Pelodiscus sinensis: one gene and its partner. The protein of the gene in region 2 binds, or shares a complex with, the protein of the main gene of each other region. Links are inferred from orthologs where the notes say so. Each region holds a gene or a part of one and is shown on either strand. Other genes may lie near its edges.

The links.
Region 1: the proteins of RAB7A (region 2) and RILP are in contact, whole or in part, in a crystal structure (PDB 1YHN), measured with the Homo sapiens proteins. The link is inferred for Pelodiscus sinensis from reciprocal best matches to the Homo sapiens genes RAB7A and RILP. Residues at the interface, in NP_004628.4 of Homo sapiens: Ser3, Lys6, Leu8, Ile41, Gly42, Ala43, Asp44, Phe45, Leu46, Thr47, Thr58, Trp62, Ser72, Leu73, Val75, Leu182, Tyr183, Asn184, Glu185; in NP_113618.2 of Homo sapiens: Phe248, Glu249, Leu252, Gln253, Arg255, Asn256, Lys259, Ala260, Phe263, Leu264, Glu267, Glu268, Tyr271, Arg274, Glu275.

The regions. Positions count from the first base shown.
Region 1 is NC_134731.1:1,044,015-1,052,620, forward strand, and holds the start of RILP (rab-interacting lysosomal protein), read left to right. Parts: upstream 1-4,758; 5' UTR 4,759-4,862; coding exon 4,863-5,150; intron 5,151-5,501; coding exon 5,502-5,625; intron 5,626-8,606. UniProt on the Homo sapiens protein: Rab effector playing a role in late endocytic transport to degradative compartments. Involved in the regulation of lysosomal morphology and distribution.
Region 2 is NC_134721.1:25,507,537-25,517,109, reverse strand, and holds the start of RAB7A (ras-related protein Rab-7a), read right to left. Parts: upstream 3,712-9,573; 5' UTR 3,566-3,711; intron 1-3,565.

The DNA of each region.
Region 1 (8,606 bases), on a different chromosome or scaffold from region 2:
AAAGAGGGCCATTTCTTTACAGTACATTCTCTTGACCAAATTTAAGATCACTGGTTCTTCAGTTTCACATGTATACTCAATCCTTAATGGGGGGCAGTGAGACAGAGCTGGAAGGGGCTTGTTTGAGCATGTACAGTGGTGAGACAAATACTGACAGTGCTGTAGTGTATGAAAAAGTGGGGTAGGGTTTTCTGTGAAGGGCCTTTGAAAGTGGATACAGTTTGTTGTGGCACCAGGGGAGAGTGGAAAGAGGTGGTTATGCAACTAGCCCTTTGTGGAGGAGAGTTCTGAGCCCTTTCCTGCCTAAGGACATGTCAAAAATCCGCAAAAACTAGTCCAGTAGCATCAAAGACTAGCACACTTATTTGGGCAAAAGGTTTCACGGGCTAAAGACCCGCTTCATCAGACGCACCAGACAAAGTGTGTGGGGGGGTGTCTTTGCCTATGAAAGCATAGGCCCAAATACACCAGTTAGTCTTTAAGATAAATGGTTAGTGGATAAATGGGAATAAATGGTCAGTGTTCAGAATGAAAAGAGATAACTAGTGGTGTCCAATCCTATTGAACACATTCATAAATGGCCTGGAGAAGGGGGCAAACGTGGCAAAATTTGCAAATGAAACAACCTACTCACGACAGTTGAGGCTGTGAAGAACTTCAAAAGGATCTCACTTATGACTAGGCAATAAAATGGCAGATTAATTTTACCTGTTATCACTCGAGAGAGATGTTAGACATTGTGGATAGTTTTGAGAATATCCATAGCACCTGTCAAAAACAAATCAAAAGGATAGAGAATCAGACAAATATCTTATTGCTTCTATATCAATTGATGGTATTCCCACATCTTGAATACTGTGTGCACTGTAGTAGTCACTCAGGATTTATTGGTGTGATGTCCTGACAGGTCTCCTGCTCCCTAGATGATAATCATTTGGCTGCATGTGTTGACTTGTGCAAGTAGTTAACACAGCTGACTCCAAGAGAGCCCCCAAAATCAGATGATTGAAGGTGCAGGGCCAGGTTTATTGTCAAAGTACAGTAATAGTTGGCAGTAGACTCTACCCAACCACAATACCTATATACTCCCCTGACAATGGACATGGCTCAGTGTCATGAGAATCTATCACTGCCCCTTAGGCCGGACAAAGACAGCCCTGCCAAGACACCACTTTATATATAAAAACAACAAATGGTCTGGTAGCACTTTATAGACTAACAAAACATGTAGATGGTATTATGAGCTTTCGTGGGCACAGCCCACTTCTTCGGATGACCGGAGTTATGAGTTTAGGATGTGTACACCCAAAATAAATAGGAGAGGGGAAGTGAAGGGGAGAGTGAAGAAAAAGGGAGGAGGGTGGGAGACAGAATCAGTAAGTATCTGAAGATTGGCTAGTTAAACTGAAGCAGATAAGAATCAAAGTCAATAGATAGACTCCCATGTCAGGAAGGATACTACACAGAGTTGTCTGCACCTTCAATGGCTGTTAAATTGGTAGTGTTCCAACCGACTTTCATCACAATTGAGTCCATTAGCATGTGAATTGCATTGTGGATGAATTGTAATTCCAATGTGCTACCACGTAGTCTATGAAGTGCTACCAGACCATTTGTTGTTTTTTCCTGTAACAGACTAACTTGGCTACCCCCTGAAGCTTCGGTTACAAACAAGTTACTCATCTCTCCCACCCTTTGAGGTTTCCACCATTTGATAGTACTTAGATACCACCCATCACCCTGCACCTTGTGGTTCAATTAGAACATCTCTATCCAACATGCTGTCATTTTCTGGACCTTTCCTGGACCTGGGGTTGGTATTTGTGGGGAGTGTAGAGACCAAGGTTATTTTTAATGAGCTGATGTTACCATCTTTTTGGAATATGCTTTCAGCTTATGACCAGTACCAATTGCTGTTATAGCCGGTACCTAGTACCAGTTACGATTCTACGTCTGTGCCTATTACCAATTAGTGTTTTACACACTCAGCCCTGTTCAGGCCAAGTTCTGTGAGCAAGGGCCTGCCTCTTGGTCACAGGTTAGCTTTGCTTTAACAATACTCAAGACTTTACTAATATAGGTAAGTCTCAGGCCTCAAATCAGACCTGTGCTACATGGGCTTTTGTTTGTCCTTTATCTTACTATCTCAAAAAAGATATCTCGGCATTAGAAAAAGTTCAGAAAGGGGCAAGATAAATGATTAGGAGTATCTCTTGCCATTTGAGAGGAAATTAATAAGATAGAAAGTCCCAATCTTGGAAAAGAGATGACCAAGGGGAGATACAACAAAGATGTATAAAATCATGACTAGTGTGAAGAAAGTAAATAAAAGTTATTTACTTGTTTTAAGAACTAGGGGTTACAAAATGAAATTAACAGGTAATAGGTTCAAAACAAAAGGAAGTATTTCCTCACACAGAAAAGTCAATCTGTGGCACTTCCTGCCAGAAGAAGGCCAAGACTGTAACGGTTCAAAGAACTAGATAATTTCATGGACGTTGGGCCCATCAATGGCTGTTAGCCAGGCTGGGCAGGGAGGGTGTCCCTGGTCTCTGTTTGTCAGGGGTAGGAATAGGCAACAGGAGGGATCCTGTGATGATTCCCTGTTCTGTTCACTCCCTCTGGGACACTGTGGGCAGGCAGGACACTGGACTTGATGGACCTTGGGCCTGGTTATTCTTATGTTGAGTGGCCTGAGGGCTACGATGACTCACTGGCTGCCCAGCTGAGATGTTAGTGTGAGGTGCTCAGCCCCACTGGGAACAGCCCTCCCCTTCGGCCTGGGGGTGAAGCTTGGGGCCTGCCTCCACCAGCCTCTGGGCTGGGTCTCTGCCCTTCCACTCTGTTGCCCCTTGTGAGCCCAGGGCCATTTAAAATAGCCCCTTAGCAAGGGAGCGGGGGACAGTCTCAGAGCACCCTGCCTCCCCCTTAGTGTTGCCTTAAAGAGCCCCACGCCCCCAGCCCTTAGCGCCGCCTCAGCGTGCCCTACCCCCCGGCCCTTAGCGCCACCTCAGAGTGTTCTGACCCCCGGCCCTTAGCGCCACCTCAGAGCGCCCTGCCCCCCAGCCCTTAGCGCTGCCCCCCAGCCCTTAGCGCCACCTCTGAGTGTTCTGACCCCCGGCCCATAGCGCCACCTCAGAGCGCCCCGCCCCCCAGCCCTTAGCGCCGCCTCAGAGCGCCCCGCCCCCCAGCCCTTAGCGCCACCTCAGAGTGTTCTGCCCCCCCCAGCCCTTAGCGCCACCTCAGAGCGCCCCGCCCCCCCCGGCCCTTAGCGCCACCTCAGAGCGCCCCGCCCCCTCAGCCCTTAGCGCCACCTCTGAGTGTTCTGACCCCCGGCCCTTAGCGCCACCTCAGAGCGCCCCGCCCCCCAGCCCTTAGCGCCACCTCTGAGTGTTCTGACCCCCAGCCCTTAGCGCCGCCTCAGAGCGCCCCGCCCCCCAGCCCTTAGCGCCACCTCAGCGTGCCGTGCCCCCCAGCCCTTAGCGCCACCTCTGAGTGTTCTGACCCCCAGCCCTTAGCGCCACCTCAGCGCGCCCTGCCCCCCCTGCCCTTAGCGCCACCTCAGAGCGTCCCACCCCCCCCCGCCCTTAGTGCCACCTCAGAGTGTCCCACCCCCCCCGCCCTTAGTGCCACCTCAGAGCGTCCCGCCCCCCAGCCCTTAGCGCCACCTCAGAGCGTCCCGCCCCCCCCGCCCTTAGCGCCACCTCAGAGCGTCCCGCCCCCCCCCGCCCTTAGTGCCACCTCAGAGCGTCCCACCCCCCCCCGCCCTTAGTGCCAGCTCAGAGCGTCCCGCCCCCCCTGCCCTTAGTGCCAGCTCAGAGCGTCCCGCCCCCCCTGCCCTTAGTGCCAGCTCAGAGCGTCCCGCCCCCCCTGCCCTTAGTGCCAGCTCAGAGCGTCCCGCCCCCCCAGCCCTTAGCGCCGCCTCAGAGCGTCCCGCCCCCCCGGCCCTTAGCGCCACCTCAGAGCGCCCCGCCCCCCCCGGCCCTTAGCGCCACCTCAGAGCGCCCCGCCCCCCCCCGGCCCTTAGCGCCACCTCAGAGCGTCCCGCCCCCCAGCCCTTAGCGCCGCCTCAGAGCGCCCCGCCCCCCAGCCCTTAGCGCCGCCTCAGAGCGCCCCGCCCCCCCGGCCCTTAGTGCCGCCTCAGAGCGCCCCGCCCCCCAGCCCTTAGCGCCGCCTCAGAGCGCCCCCCCCGCCCTTAGCGCCGCCTCAGAGCGTCCCGCCCCCCCCCGCCCTTAGCGCCGCCTCAGAGCGTCCCGCCCCCCCCCGCCCTTAGCGCCGCCTCAGAGCGTCCCGCCCCCCCGGCCCTTAGCGCCACCTCAGAGTGTTCTGACCCCCGGCCCTTAGCGCCGCCTCAGAGCGCCCCGCCCCCCCGGCCCTTAGCGCCGCCTCAGAGCGCCCCGCCCCCCGGCCCTTAGCGCTGCCTCAGAGCGTCCCGCCCCCCCGGCCCTTAGCGCCACCTCAGAGTGTTCTGACCCCCGGCCCTTAGCGCCGCCTCAGAGCGCCCCGCCCCCCCGGCCCTTAGCGCCGCCTCAGAGCGCCCCGCCCCCCGGCCCTTAGCGCTGCCTCAGAGCGCCCCGCCCCCCCGGCCCTTAGCGCCGCCTCAGAGCGCCCCGCCCCCCAGCCCTTAGCGCCGTCTCAGAGCGCCCCGCCCTCAGGCTGTGGGCCAATCACGCTGGGGGTGGGGGTGGGGTCTACGCGCGGTGCCCCGCCCCTGCGGCCAATGGGAGCTGCGGGCAGCAGCGCGCGGAGTCCCCGCCCCCCGCCGAGGAGCTGCCAGAGGCGCGTGCAGGAGCAGACCCGCCCACCCCGCGGCCGAGGGGGCCGGGCGCGTGCGCGGCGCTGGGCGGGAGGCGGCGCGCGCCATGGCGGAGCGGCTGCCGCGGCCCGGGCGCCTGGCCCCGGAGCGCGTGTACCGCCTGGCCGGGGCGCTGGGCGCCGAGCTGCAGCGGCTGTCGGGGCGCTTCGGGCCCGAGGCGGTGGCTGGGCTGGTGCCGCAGGTGGTGCGGCTGCTCGAGCTGCTGGAGGCGCTGGCGGGGCCGCCCGCGGCCGAGCCCGGCCCCGAGCCCGGCTGCCAAGACCCGGCCGAGGCGCTGCTGCGCACGGTGCAGAGCCTGAGGCGGCGCGAGGAGCCCGCGGCCCCCGCCGGGGAGGTGAGGGGGGTCTGGGGGGCGGGGCAGAGACGGGGGGGAAGGAGGGTGGGGGGGAGACTGGGGGGTCGGGACTGGGAGCTCAGGGGCGGGGTTGGGGTCTTTGGGGGCGGGGGGTAGGTTGGAGTCTTGGGGGAGGGGGCTGTGGGGGGAGGGGCGGGGGCTCTGGGGGCAGGGTTGGGGGCTCTGGGAGGTTGCCCTGGCAGCCAGTGCGCAGGCTAGGCAGTGTCATGCCATGGCTGCTCTCCGAGGAACTGAGTCCACCTGACCCCAAGCCCAAGAGGCTCTTGTGGGGTAAAGGGCAGAGCGTCTGGGGTGGGCAGGGCTCTGATCTCACTGGTGCCTTTTTTGCAGGCACTGCAGCAGAAGCTGGCGGAGGCCTGGAGGAAAGAACATGTTCTCCAACACCGGCTGGCCCAGCTAGAAGAGGAAAACCACAAGCTCCTGGCACAGCTGGCGGAGAGCCAGTCCCAGGAAGGTAGGTGTCCCTGGGGAAGCTGTTGCTGAATCCCTGCCAGCTTCTGAGTGCCGGGAAGTTCACTCAGTGAGGCTAGGCTGCAGTGTATCTGGCTTACAGCCCACTGTCATCCTTGGGATGCTCTGCTTATATCTGGAGGAATAAACCTTTATTCTGATATCTGAGCACGTGCACATTCTATGTAATACCACCACCCTGTCTCTGAGGCATCTCACTTGATGAGACTGGGGGACTGAGGCCCAGGGTAAGGCTGTATATACTAGGGACCTCAGTTCAGCTGCACAGGTGTAAGCACTGTAGAGCTCTGAACTAGGCAGTGTGTGGTAGCTTCTAGTACGTTTAATTAGAAGCTTTGTTTATATTGGGGCTCCCAGAGGTGCTAGTAGAGTGTGATGACTTCCCCCCCCCAGGGTGCCATCTGGTGCCCCACTTCCCCAGCCCAACAGCCTAGGTTCCCACACTCACTGTACTGCTGTGATAAGCTGCTGTGCCCTCCAGCCTGCACTTTTGCCAGCGTGCATACAGTAGAAGGACACCCAGCTGCAGTTACATGCAGGCTCTCTGAGCAGCCTCTGCATAGGAATGCTACAGCTAAGGCAACAGCCAGCTTTTCAGACACAAAGCCGCTCTGAAGTATGAACCCACAAGGACATTGGCTTGCTCTGCACAGGGCAAGCTCATAGAATTCCCTCCCTCCCTCAGGGCAGTGGCATCTGCAGCAGTCTTTTGCCCCCAAGTTATGATTCCCACACTCTGCTTTAGGTAAAGCAAAACCAAGTTTATTAACTGCAGAAGATCAAAGCAGATTACCTAGCAAATAAACCAAAAACACAAACTAAATTTAAAAATGTTTCCAGGCGTTGTCTTGTGTGGGGTGCAGAGAACAACCAGATGATGTCACTCCATATATGTTTTTGCATGTGGTGGCAACCCTTTGTTTTAAAGCTTGGTTCCCAGACCAGTCTGTGGAGAAACACTGATATCCCAAGGTGGAGTCAACAGACATGTGGTCACATCATATGTCTTTGTGGGGTCATAGCAGCCATTTATAGTTTCTGTTTTGGAATTTTACACTTATCCATACTAGTTTGTTTCAGTTGCATCTTTCAGTGTCAGTGGTTGATTGTATTTCCTTTGGTAAAGCACCTTTCATGTGATCAGGGAGTCTAGTAATTGAGTAAGACTCTAAACTAAGAATTTGAACTAACCAACTTCTAAAATTATAAGTTAAAAGAAGAAGTAGAGTAATAGTACAAGAGGAAGCAGCCACCTGTATGATCTAACAGAGGGCTTCCTTCTCTATTGCCACATGCTTGAAACTTAGAGTCCCGGGGATGGTGGTTTGACGGACCAGGCAGGTCTGGGCACAGCTGAGGGCGTCCGCTCAGGGCAAATTGCTCAAATTTGGGGCTCCTTACAGCCCCCAGAATGGAGACCTTCCCAAACAGGCCACAAACCAGTCCCACATAGCGCTTCAGCTGCCTGCCTGAAGCCTCATGAGCAAAACCCCTCTGAGACACCAGCAATATCTGTGTCCCAGATGGCCCTGAACCTCATACACAGGTGAGGGGGTCTTAGAACCCAATCTCACCTACCCCGAACAAGTTCTGTCTGGTTCCAAAAAACCAGCCACAGATCCCAGGTCAATTTACCCTCTGGACCTTACCCACAAGCCACGCTGAGCCAACCCTTTAGAATCTACCATCTAAAGAGTTTATTACTATGAGAACGAAAAGCACGAGAATGAGGTTGTTAAAGTATCATACGTTACATGCATCGAATCGCCCAGTTCTCGATGCAGGCTCTAGCAGAGATGTTATAGCTGCTGGATTAAAAGTCCTTGTTGCACATCCTAGGTCAGGATGGGTCCACAGGTCTTCCTGGCTCGTGATCCCCTGCAAGGCTGCATCTGGTGTCAGGAGCAGATCTAAGTCCAGCACGGAGTCGACCACATGGCCTGTTTATACCTCCTCCCTGATTTCTTCCAAGCTGGAGGGAGTCACATGGCCAGTGGCCAGGTGTGTCTTTGGCCTTCAGAGGCCCATTGTTCCCTGGAGCTTCGCTCATTAGCATGTCCATAGGCAATAATTCCTAGCCCATTATTCAAGCACATTCAGAGAGATTCCAGTCTCCATACAGAGTACAGACCCCTAACTCCACACACAGACATTATACAGATCTATGAAGAGCAGATACAGAATCAGAAGAAAGTAGCTTTTGTTTGACCCCTCACATGGCCCCTTTGTACCACTTTTGGGGCAAACACCCCCCATGGATGCAGCAGTGACCCGGCTGCTCCCCTCACAATCCCATAACGTGACAGGTGGTTGTTACTACCAAATTGGAACTTGTGAAAGCTAATTGGATTAGTATCCCACTATGCCTGAATGCACAGTAAGAGATGGTTCCTGCTCCAAAGAGTTTACATCTTACAGAAGTAATAAATGTGTTTAAAGAAAGAGAGGACAAGGGTTACTAAGAGGGAGAAGTTGTGTGGGCTGGCTGCATACATAGCTGTCAAGCTTAACAGAAGTAAGCAAGAGGCCTTAGTGATGTCATCCCTGATGTTCACTACTTGGTTAGGATGAGGAGGAGTTGGCAATGTGACATGGCAGAAGAACAGTGAGTGTTGTGTGAGGAGGAGGGGATGGTCCTGCTCTGCACCGCCAGGTAGTGAGTAGAAGGGCATGGGCTCGTGTCAGAAAAAGATGGAGGTTGAGAGAGAATAGGCTAGGAGAGAAGCAGCTCTTAGGAGTTAGATCTGTGCAACATGGAGATGCACGAAGGCTGCATTCAGGATGGTGGTTGAGGGTAGTGCAAGGAGCAATGGGAGGAAATAAGGGGGAAACATTCGGATAATGTCAACAAGGTGTATACCCGGTGAGGGGGTGATCGGAGAGTCTGGGAGGGCTGGATTCTGTAAATTGGTTATTTAACCGGGCAATGCCAATAACGTCAGCTCCCGAAGGGGAGGTTGAAGA
Region 2 (9,573 bases):
TAAGATGCCAAATTTTGCCAATAAAGCCTGAAGTAGACAGCCTTATTTAGGATAAAGTCTATATTGTACATTACAGTATAAAGACTGCTTTTACTACAGAATAGTCCATCTAGTTTGGAAAAACCCCTTCAGTTTACCCTATCATTGAAAAAAAATGACAGTCTCCCCCCAACAGAAGCAGTTAGCTAAAATGTCTCCACTGACCTATGGCTACTCTGTATGTAACGTCAGCATATTCTCCACCTCCTACCCAGCTATGTTGGCCACGGCTATGCTGGACTTTTAAGATCTTGACCAGGCCTGTTTTCTTAAGGTATGTTTGTTAAAGATGTGCAGTTTAACAAAGTGGATTCCAGAACAGCCTTCTTAAAATAGTGTATATTTTACAGAGATTGGGCTTTTGACTACAGGCTGAAGTTTGACATCCTGCTACACAGCAATCCACTACCATTCTGGAGGATCAGTAATTCTCTCATGTAGTATGGTGGCATCCTTTGCCATGTTCCTTAATCTTTTGTTTTAGATCAGGCTCTGTAGGCCACCTACTTTGAAATGATTTGGGATTGTCAAATCAACTGCCTTAACAGTAGTGAAGTGGGCAATCTTATATGCTCCCTATATAATGGGATTTTTATACCACTCCAGGGGTAATATGTTTAATGCCATGCAGTGAAACTATCTACAAATATTCTGCAGTCACTGTTCAGCTCTCCCTAGAAAACTCCCCTCTTCCCCAAAACAGAGGCACAGTCTTATAGTTTCGAATAAGAAAGGACTTCCCCAAAGTCATGTTTTGCCCATAAATTTATTCTGCTGACAGGTAAATCTCAAACAGCATGAAACTCTTATAAGTTCTGCTACTGAAGTTCAGAGTCCAAAACCACTCTTCTCCTTGGACATTTGAGTGCAGTCCAAAAGCAAATAGGCTTAAGCAACAGAAGCCACTTTGACTTACCAAAAAAGAAAGCTATGGAGAAGCTAGTTAGAATTGTATTTCAGAGCAGTCTCAATGTGCCCAATTATATTAGAGTTCAAGTGTTTTAAGCCATGCTTTACAATATCTATTGTCCCGCCTTAAGCATCTTTGTAGATTAGTTCTCTAGAAACAAAAACAGTTATATTGAGTCTGAGAAGCATTTCCTGACCTAGCTGATAATTTAGGAAGGTTTTTAGATACTAGATTCTGCAGCAGATTAGTGGAGAAAACTGTACTGCTGTAGGGCTTCTTGAAAGCAGTTCTGCTTATTTTGGTAATTACAGTTTAACCCAATCTTGTACTTTCTGTACTAGAATATAACAGCACATGTAGAAGAGAAGTTTGAGATTACACTTTGAATGCCTAAGAATTTATTACATTAGGAAATAAGTCATAATGAAGACCCTTTGAATTCTGAACTTGATCCACCAAATCTAGACAAAGTATTATTAGTTTGTGGATAGCAAGTCATGTGTTTAGTCAGCTGCTGAAGTCACAAGGGAAAGACAGAATGAGAGTTTTTCCTGACTGAGGGCATGGCATAGAACCACAGATTTAAAAAACAGTGAACACAGTAGTCTACCTACTTTAAACAAACTTCATTCCAGATTATAAAAGAGTTGCACTTCAATATGGCTGCCTGGAGAATATTAGCCAAGAAACTGTTTTATCAAATACTTCAGTCTGTAACTGAAAGTTTAACAAAAAAGTAGGACTATTGGTTTTTTTTTTATTTATCTAAGGTGCTGCAGATGGTATGAGCTTTGGATATGCCCACAAAAGTGCATAATACCATCTGTTAGTCTCAGGTGCTGCAGGACTTTTTTTATTTTATTAAATGCTAGTGGTCTTAGTGGCAAACAGGCATTCCAAGTTAAAGCCATAACCAGACAAATGAAGTCAGCTAACTCTAGTAGAGCAAGCTGGGTCACGTACTTCATAATCCCCATCTATATTATCAGGTGTAAGATGTTGACTTGCAATTTGCATAGCACAGAAGAGTTGTGTAGTAGTGAGTGGTGTAGTAGTGGACTGCTACTATTTGTTACCCATGTTCCAAATTGTTAGCAACAAAACAGATCTTAGCATTGAACTTCCTGCTTGTCTGGGAGGAATTTGTAAAACCTTGTGTTTATTTACATGTTTGCCCATGCAGTCCTTCATAGGTTTAGCAGCTCTGTTCCACCAGGACAAGTTTTTGAAGAATCATGAAAGACAAAATTAAACTTGGCCTATGACTCAAGTTTATGTCTTACCTCAAGGTTGTAAGAAGTCAGTATAATCAGAACTATTTTAAAATACAGCTAAACCAATACATCACCTCTGCTAGCAGTTAGAAAAATATTGAAATCCCTCCTTAACTTAGCTTTTTAATTAATCAGGATAGCAATGGTTAGCCTTTTTAAAGGCATAAGAGCTGATTACAGCCTACAGCATCTTAGCATCAAATTTAATTCTTCCCACTGACTCAGTCCTTATGCATGCAAAGAAGTTACTTGCGCAATAACTGCCAGTCTTTTCAGTTGCCTATGTTATCCTGTTATTAACTGGACTAAGTGCAGTCTGCTAGTAAGTTAATTATATCCACTGATTACACTGAATAATATTTCAAATTATAGTAGTTTTTTCTGAAAAAAAAAAAAACTTAGGGATATTCCTAGCCTCTAGCTGTTCTCCCCCCCCCCCCCACCCACCCCCATTCTTCAGAGTTTGCATAAACCCAAGCACAAAAGGTGGGTGACAAATCTCCATCAGAAACTTTATCATTTCTACTTGAGCTCTTACTGATTTTCATATCAGGTCAATGCACCTGACTACAGGCAACTAGAGAGGCTGAAGGAATGGCCTCTTCCTTAGAAGAAAACATCCACATCGACCAGGAAAGCTTTATATTCAAAACATCAGCTTTTACTAGCTACTCTGAAGCATTATGAAAGCATCATTGTTACATATAGATGAGGGCAGGAGGAAAGAAAAATCTTAAACCCATCCCAATCCTTACACACAATGCCTCCCTAACTCAGTGAGCTCTCGATGCAAATCCCACTAACAAGGAAGAGCCCCATTCTCTGGCACAGGATAAGACACAAAGGAACAATTTTCCGGGTCCATCAACGCCTCCTCCCCACCCCATTTAGTCCCCGCAACTGGAAAGAAAAGGCCCCTCCTCACAGAGCCGCTCCCCCTCCTACTCCAACAAGGGAGGAGCCCCGCTGCCACCTCCTCCTAGAGCCCCTCCTCTCGCTTTAGTCCCAGACACCGGGATCTACTACCTCCCCCTCCTCAGGGGGACTAGGGTGGAGCCGGCTGCCTTTTCCTCCCTCCCCCAGCCTCAGGGCACTTGCGAGAGCAGCTGCCGCCCGCCGGCCCCGGCGAGCAGCCTCCTTCGCAGCGCCGGGCCTACGTTCTCCGCCCCCACCAAGCAGCTGCCCACCACGCAGACCCCGCCAAGCGCCCGCTACCTCCGCCAAGCCACAGACCCTTCCCCCCCTTTCGCCCCCGCCCAAGTCCCGAGCCGCCAGGGGAGCAGCAGGCCACAACCCAGCCCAGGGAAGGAGAGAGCCCCACATCGCCAAGCCGGCCACTCACCACGCTCAGCAGCCCCGCGACACGAGCTCCAAGCCTCGCTACCTCCACTGCTGCCTTCGACTCCGCTTTAATGGGGCCAAACAGCCTCCCTGCTTTCACTTCCGCCTATCCCGCGCCAGCTTCCGGTCACGGGACCATTCGGTGCTGTAACGTCAGCACGCACAGGGTAGGCGGGGGGGAGTGCAGTTGCCGCGTCACACGTCCAAGCACGCCCGCCTTGGCGTCATCTAGGTGGCCATCTTGGATGCCAGGCTGCGTGCTGTGGCGCCTCCGAGCATTCTGAGAAAGATTCTACCGGGCCACTCTGGTTTGTTTACTTTGCAGCCACAGAGCCTCATGGCTCCCACTGGCTGCGGTTCGCCGTCTGCAGCCCAGGGTAGCCACGGGACACAGTGTGACCTGTGCCTATGTATTAATGAAGTTCTTTACAAACATATTAAAAAAGTAAAATCCTATCGAGCAATGTTAACAGAAATTGAATTTTCAGATCAGGAAAAGAAGGGGAATGGTTTATGATTAGGACTAGAAGTAAACAAACCTGGATTCTTTCCCCATCTCTGATACAGATTTTCTGTGGACTTTGGGCAAGGTACTTGCCTGCTCAGTACCGTAACTCATTTTCTCTGTATGTCACTTGGGGATAATGCCAGTTTCAGTGTGGTTTCATAACGTTTAATTCCTTAAGGTCTGTAAAGGATTTGGAGAGTTATAGATAGAAGTTACTATTAAAAGTGCTATAATCTATTAGAATCTGATATATATATATATTATATTCCTATCTGGAATATTCTTCATTGCAGATAATATATTACACAATATTAAAGTTATACTACATTAGAGAGAACCAAACAACAAAGGTGTATGTGAGAATGGGATGTCGCAGGCTGATCTAGCTCACTGCAGGTAATACAAATCTTAATGTTGATTGCAACAGGAGCTGGATCAGCTTTTTAGAGCAGAGGATAGGGAATCCTCTTGAGATTGGGCAAATCTTTACTTTCTCTGTGCCTCCATTTCCCCATCTGTTGGATGGTGTTAATTATACTGATCAATCTCACAGGGGTTGTGTTGTTTATTAATGGCTATAAAGTACTTTGAGATTATGAGATGGAAATTTCTACATAAGGTGTTGATTATGATGCTTCATTGAACAAAAGAAGAAAGACATAAGAAAAACCTCAAAGACAGAACTCATGAAAGTGCATCACTGCTTTGACTGTGATGCTCATGCCATCCTCACTGTGCAGCCTAATTACCAGAAGTGTATTGGCTACAGCATCAAACTGGGGCACAACATTCAACTTCTCCACCTGTGTGTTTCCTGGAAAAAAGACCATAAAATGCTAGGTGGACAAAGAACAGACACTACCAACAGCCATAAAGTGCTGCTCTGTCCACTCCTAAATGTTCCTTTTTTTCCTGTACAATATTCAAAGGAGGCAGTTTCTGTGTTTGAAAATTCTGCCTTCTTCTGATCACAGAGATTCTGGCAAAAGTGCAACACATTTATTTTAAATGGGATCTTTTTCTTATGCATCACATTAGTGAAAACCTAACACAAGCCTGGGATTTCTTCCTTTGCACAACCAGCATCTGTGCCATGCAATTCTTTTTTATTGTGACTTGCTAATTCCTGCAGGCAACGCTTTCTGTTATCAGACTAATACGGACCGATCATGGTCCTATTGAAGTGAATGAGAATTTTGTCATTGAGCAGGATATACAGCTTATATGTAAGGGCCACAGCTTGTTGAAAATACCATTGTTAAACCCTAAGACAGAAAAATAAAAAATATGTAACTATCATGTCAGATGCAGATATGGACTGAAGCCTCATGATTCTTCTATCTGCATCATAGTGACATACCTGTCAACAAAAATGAAAACAAGGATAGGCTAAAAGAAAAAAATGTAATGCAGTGAAAATCCTGATAAGATGTGAGGCCAGCAAAATAGTTTTCATAACCTGTTAAGAAGTCAGTGTTTCCTGACAGACGAGTCTGGTTAAGAATACACAAAATCTAATCTGAACAACTGGATCATTATGAAACCAAATATCAGTTATTTACAGGGAAATATATTACTGTGGAAATCAATGGTCTCGTATGTGTCAGTGGATTTGTGACCCTTTTCACAATTTACTGACTTCTGGCTGTCAGTTTCACCAAGTTAATATACATCAACACACTTCATGCGTTCATCCCTTCACAATTAGAAAAAATAATTTCCCTCACATTTGTCTTTTTTTCCTCGTGTGACAAACAATCAAACCTGCTTACTCCAACTAAATACAATGGTATGTGAGTCCCCTTATATTGTTCCTTCTCTGACTTGTTTCAACATGGCCCTGCTTTTTTCCTGCTACAGGTTGAACTGCTCTAGTTTGGTATTCCCAGTCCAGCAACATCTGAGGTCCGTCATTATTTTAGTTAGCTGGATGTCCACCTATGGGTGTGGCCAAGTTTCCCATGGTCCCATAAAGTTTGTTTATAGCCACCAGTCCTGGCTCTCAGTGTTCTGTGCTGTTATTTACCTCTAATTTACCCTTAAATGTCTTCCAAGTGCTCGGTAAGCAGTGGAAGTGTTGGTAATGCTGTTAGACAATATTGACCTCCCATTGTCTGGCAAATTCTCTGGATCGGCACCGAACAGGTCCCAAGCGTGCCGGACTAGACAGTTCATTCCCTCAATTGTATCAATGCAAATAAGAGTAAATGTATCAATACAATTTTTGTAAACCAGAAAGTGTAGACAATGTGTTGTTTCTTGGATGAATGCATGTGACGGAATGCACCCTGGTATTTACACCCTGCACACTAATCTTTGTACAAAATATGCCTTGAAGGTATCATTTGAAAAGTGATAATTTGCTGGTTAGTAGCATCATGGCAAAATGTATGTAACAGTAATATATGTAAAGTTATGAGCATAAGATGAAATCACAATTGAAGTTATTTATCATACAAGTCTGTGAAGTAAATAAACCTATTTCTCAAAGATGAATGACAAGTTGATGCCTCTAGCCTGGTGTCATCAAAAGTTTATTGGCTGTTACCTATTCAGTGGCCATTCTTTGGCATGGAAAGGTGGGTAAGGCAATAGATAAACAAATCTGAAGCTTAGCAAACAGAGGTGAACAACAACAGCATAACATCTCTTTCCCCACCAGCCTCTATACCGCCTTACTCTCAGCTGAAAATAACTTTATCTAGAGGTCATTCTCAGGAAAATGCATTTCAAGAAGTGACAGAACTATAAAAGTGATGGGCAAATCAACCTGTGTTCTCTCTTTTCAAATACTCAATTATTATTCTGTGATTAAATTGTCTATTAACGTTAAAACAGATCTCTAAGACATTCAGGCAGTGCTAGACAGCATGAAGCTACCGGTTAGAGGATTTCCACAGTCAAGATCTGGCCCTAAACAGGGCATGATGGTTAAGAGTCCAATTCTGGACTTAGTTCTATAACACAGTCTGAATGTCAAAGTTCAGAGGATTACAAAGATGCTGATCTACAGTTATCCCATGTCTGGACACATGCTACATAATGTATCAAATTGATTCTGACTAATTCTGATCATTTTCATTTTTTTCTCCAGAGTACAATAATCCACCCCCCATTGCTCCAGTACATCACCGAACAGCTCCTTGAGAACGTCCTTGGATGTTTGGCCTGACTACACAGAAGGAAGAGATAGACTTGTGGATTGTGAATATTGAAATATTAACCACTGGCTATATAAAATATTTAACATTTCTCAATGACACCTCACTTGCTTTCTTCAAATTCCTCCTTCAGGCTCACTTCTCTTGACAAGCTTCCCAAAGCTTATCTCAATTCCACCACCTCTACTCTTTGGACTGACTTCCTCAAACTAACATTATAACATTTTAACTTACTAAAACAAAAAAAGGAACCAAAAAGATGTGAACACAAGGTCTCTTACTGTTGCAGTTCTGGAGTAGTCTAGTTTTGTCCAGACACAGCCCTTTATTTGTCATCCTTTGATTCATTTTGGCTAATTGAGGCTGTGACCTCATGAGCACTCATCTTAAATATCTTCCATTGTTGCATTACCACTTTTGTAATACCATGGGTGGAAGTTCCTGTACACTGATCACCTGCATTGTCTAAGCCAGCTTGCAGTATGAATACTGAACTACTGGTCAGCACCAGTGTTCCCTGGAAGCTGCCTGCTTGCCTGGCCACTCAGGACAGATTGACACACAGCTGATTAGCAGAGCACCCACAACTGGGTTTTTTGTTTCTACTGGTGGTGCATATTCGTACATGCTTCAGTGCATAGCAAATATTTATTCTGCACATGGATATAAAAAAAATCCACACATGTATGGAAAAGATTGAGGAAACACTGGTCAGCATTAGTGCTTCCATGTGGCTACCATCAATGGATCCATACTGGTGCTACAACAACAGTGGTAGATTTAAGTGAGATGCCTGTGTACACAGGATTTAGGGTCTGGACAAGTGTGGTTTTGAGTACTTACTGCAAGGTGTCCAATGCCTTCAATTCCAACTGACTTCTGTATCAGTGAGAATTCTGAGTACTTTATAGGGGCTGCTTACAACCTGTACATGTCAGCATTTGTCTTCTCGATTTGTCTGTAAAAGTCAGGACCATCTATCCTGCTGTAGGGATACTAAGAATAACAGTATAACATCCTTTCTGAAACCTCAAGTACCAAGCATTCTGGTCTGATGCATGTTACATTTCTCATTGCAGTCTTTATTGCTTGTGTCATATGTTATGTTACACTTATCCTTTATTTATGGAAGGTCTCTGGACTTGTCCACAGGTAATCTGACCACTTGTCATAAGTATATACCATTCTTACAATTACTCACTTTTTTTAATACTAACCCTAAATGTTTCCCTACCAGAATGAATTACTGTCTGGGTGACAGTGACTCTGGATTGTATCTATTCCAAAGGATTAAAAAGCTGGTGCATCAGAAATTCTCAGTAAGGATGTTAAGAAGTGGGTAATTGGCTATTTGTGTAGGTAATTGGCTAATCGATGAGGGGAGGCGCTCTGTTGCGGCTTGCACCAGATCCAGGAGCTATCTCTACCGCATCTCTGCAATTTAAATGCAGTAGGAGCCAGGCACACAGGCAGCCTGGCTACATTTAAACTGCAGAGCCACAGCAGGGCTAGGACTTGGACCAGGCGCAAGCTGGGACCGGGACCACTGTGGCTCTGCATTTTAAATGTAGTAAGAGCTGTACATTTAAAATGCAGAGCCACAGTGGGGGTAGGTCCCAGATCCAGCACGAGCCAGGACTGAGCAGTCCCAGCTTGTGCCAGGTCCTGGACCACTGCGCCTCTGAATTTTAAATGTAGTAAGAGCTGCCTGGCTCTACTACATTCAAAATGCAGAGGTGCAGCAGTGGTAGGTCCCAGACCTGGTGTGAGTTGGGACTGAGCGGCTTTTAAGCCGGCTCCTTCCAACACAGGCTCCTGTCCCCGCCATCCTCCCTGCTTGCTGCATCTGATACAGAGGCAGTAAGGCGGGGGGGGGGGGGGGGGGGAACAAATATTTGACTCGACTACCTGATAAGCCTAGACTTATTGGGTAGTCGACTAATCAACTACTCACTTAGGGTACGTCTACACTGCACACTTATTTTGGAATAAGCTATTCCGGAAGAAATACTCCGAAATAGCTTATTTTGAAATAGCGCATCTACGCTACAGGAAAGCCTCAAAATTAGTCCAAGGCAGGCTCCCCTAATGTGGATGCACTACCTTGATTTAGTCCCAGGAAGCACTAGGGAGTGATTACACTGAATGGTCCTGGGGAGGAGCTATTTTGAAATGGCAGCAGTGGAGTGTCCTCACTACAGCTATTTTGAAATAATAATTTCGGAAGAGGTGTTATTCCTCATGGAATGAGGTTTACAGAAGTCAGAATAAGCCTCTGTTATTTCAAATTTATTTCAAAATAACGGAATTGTGTAAATGCTCGTATTGTTATTTCGGAAT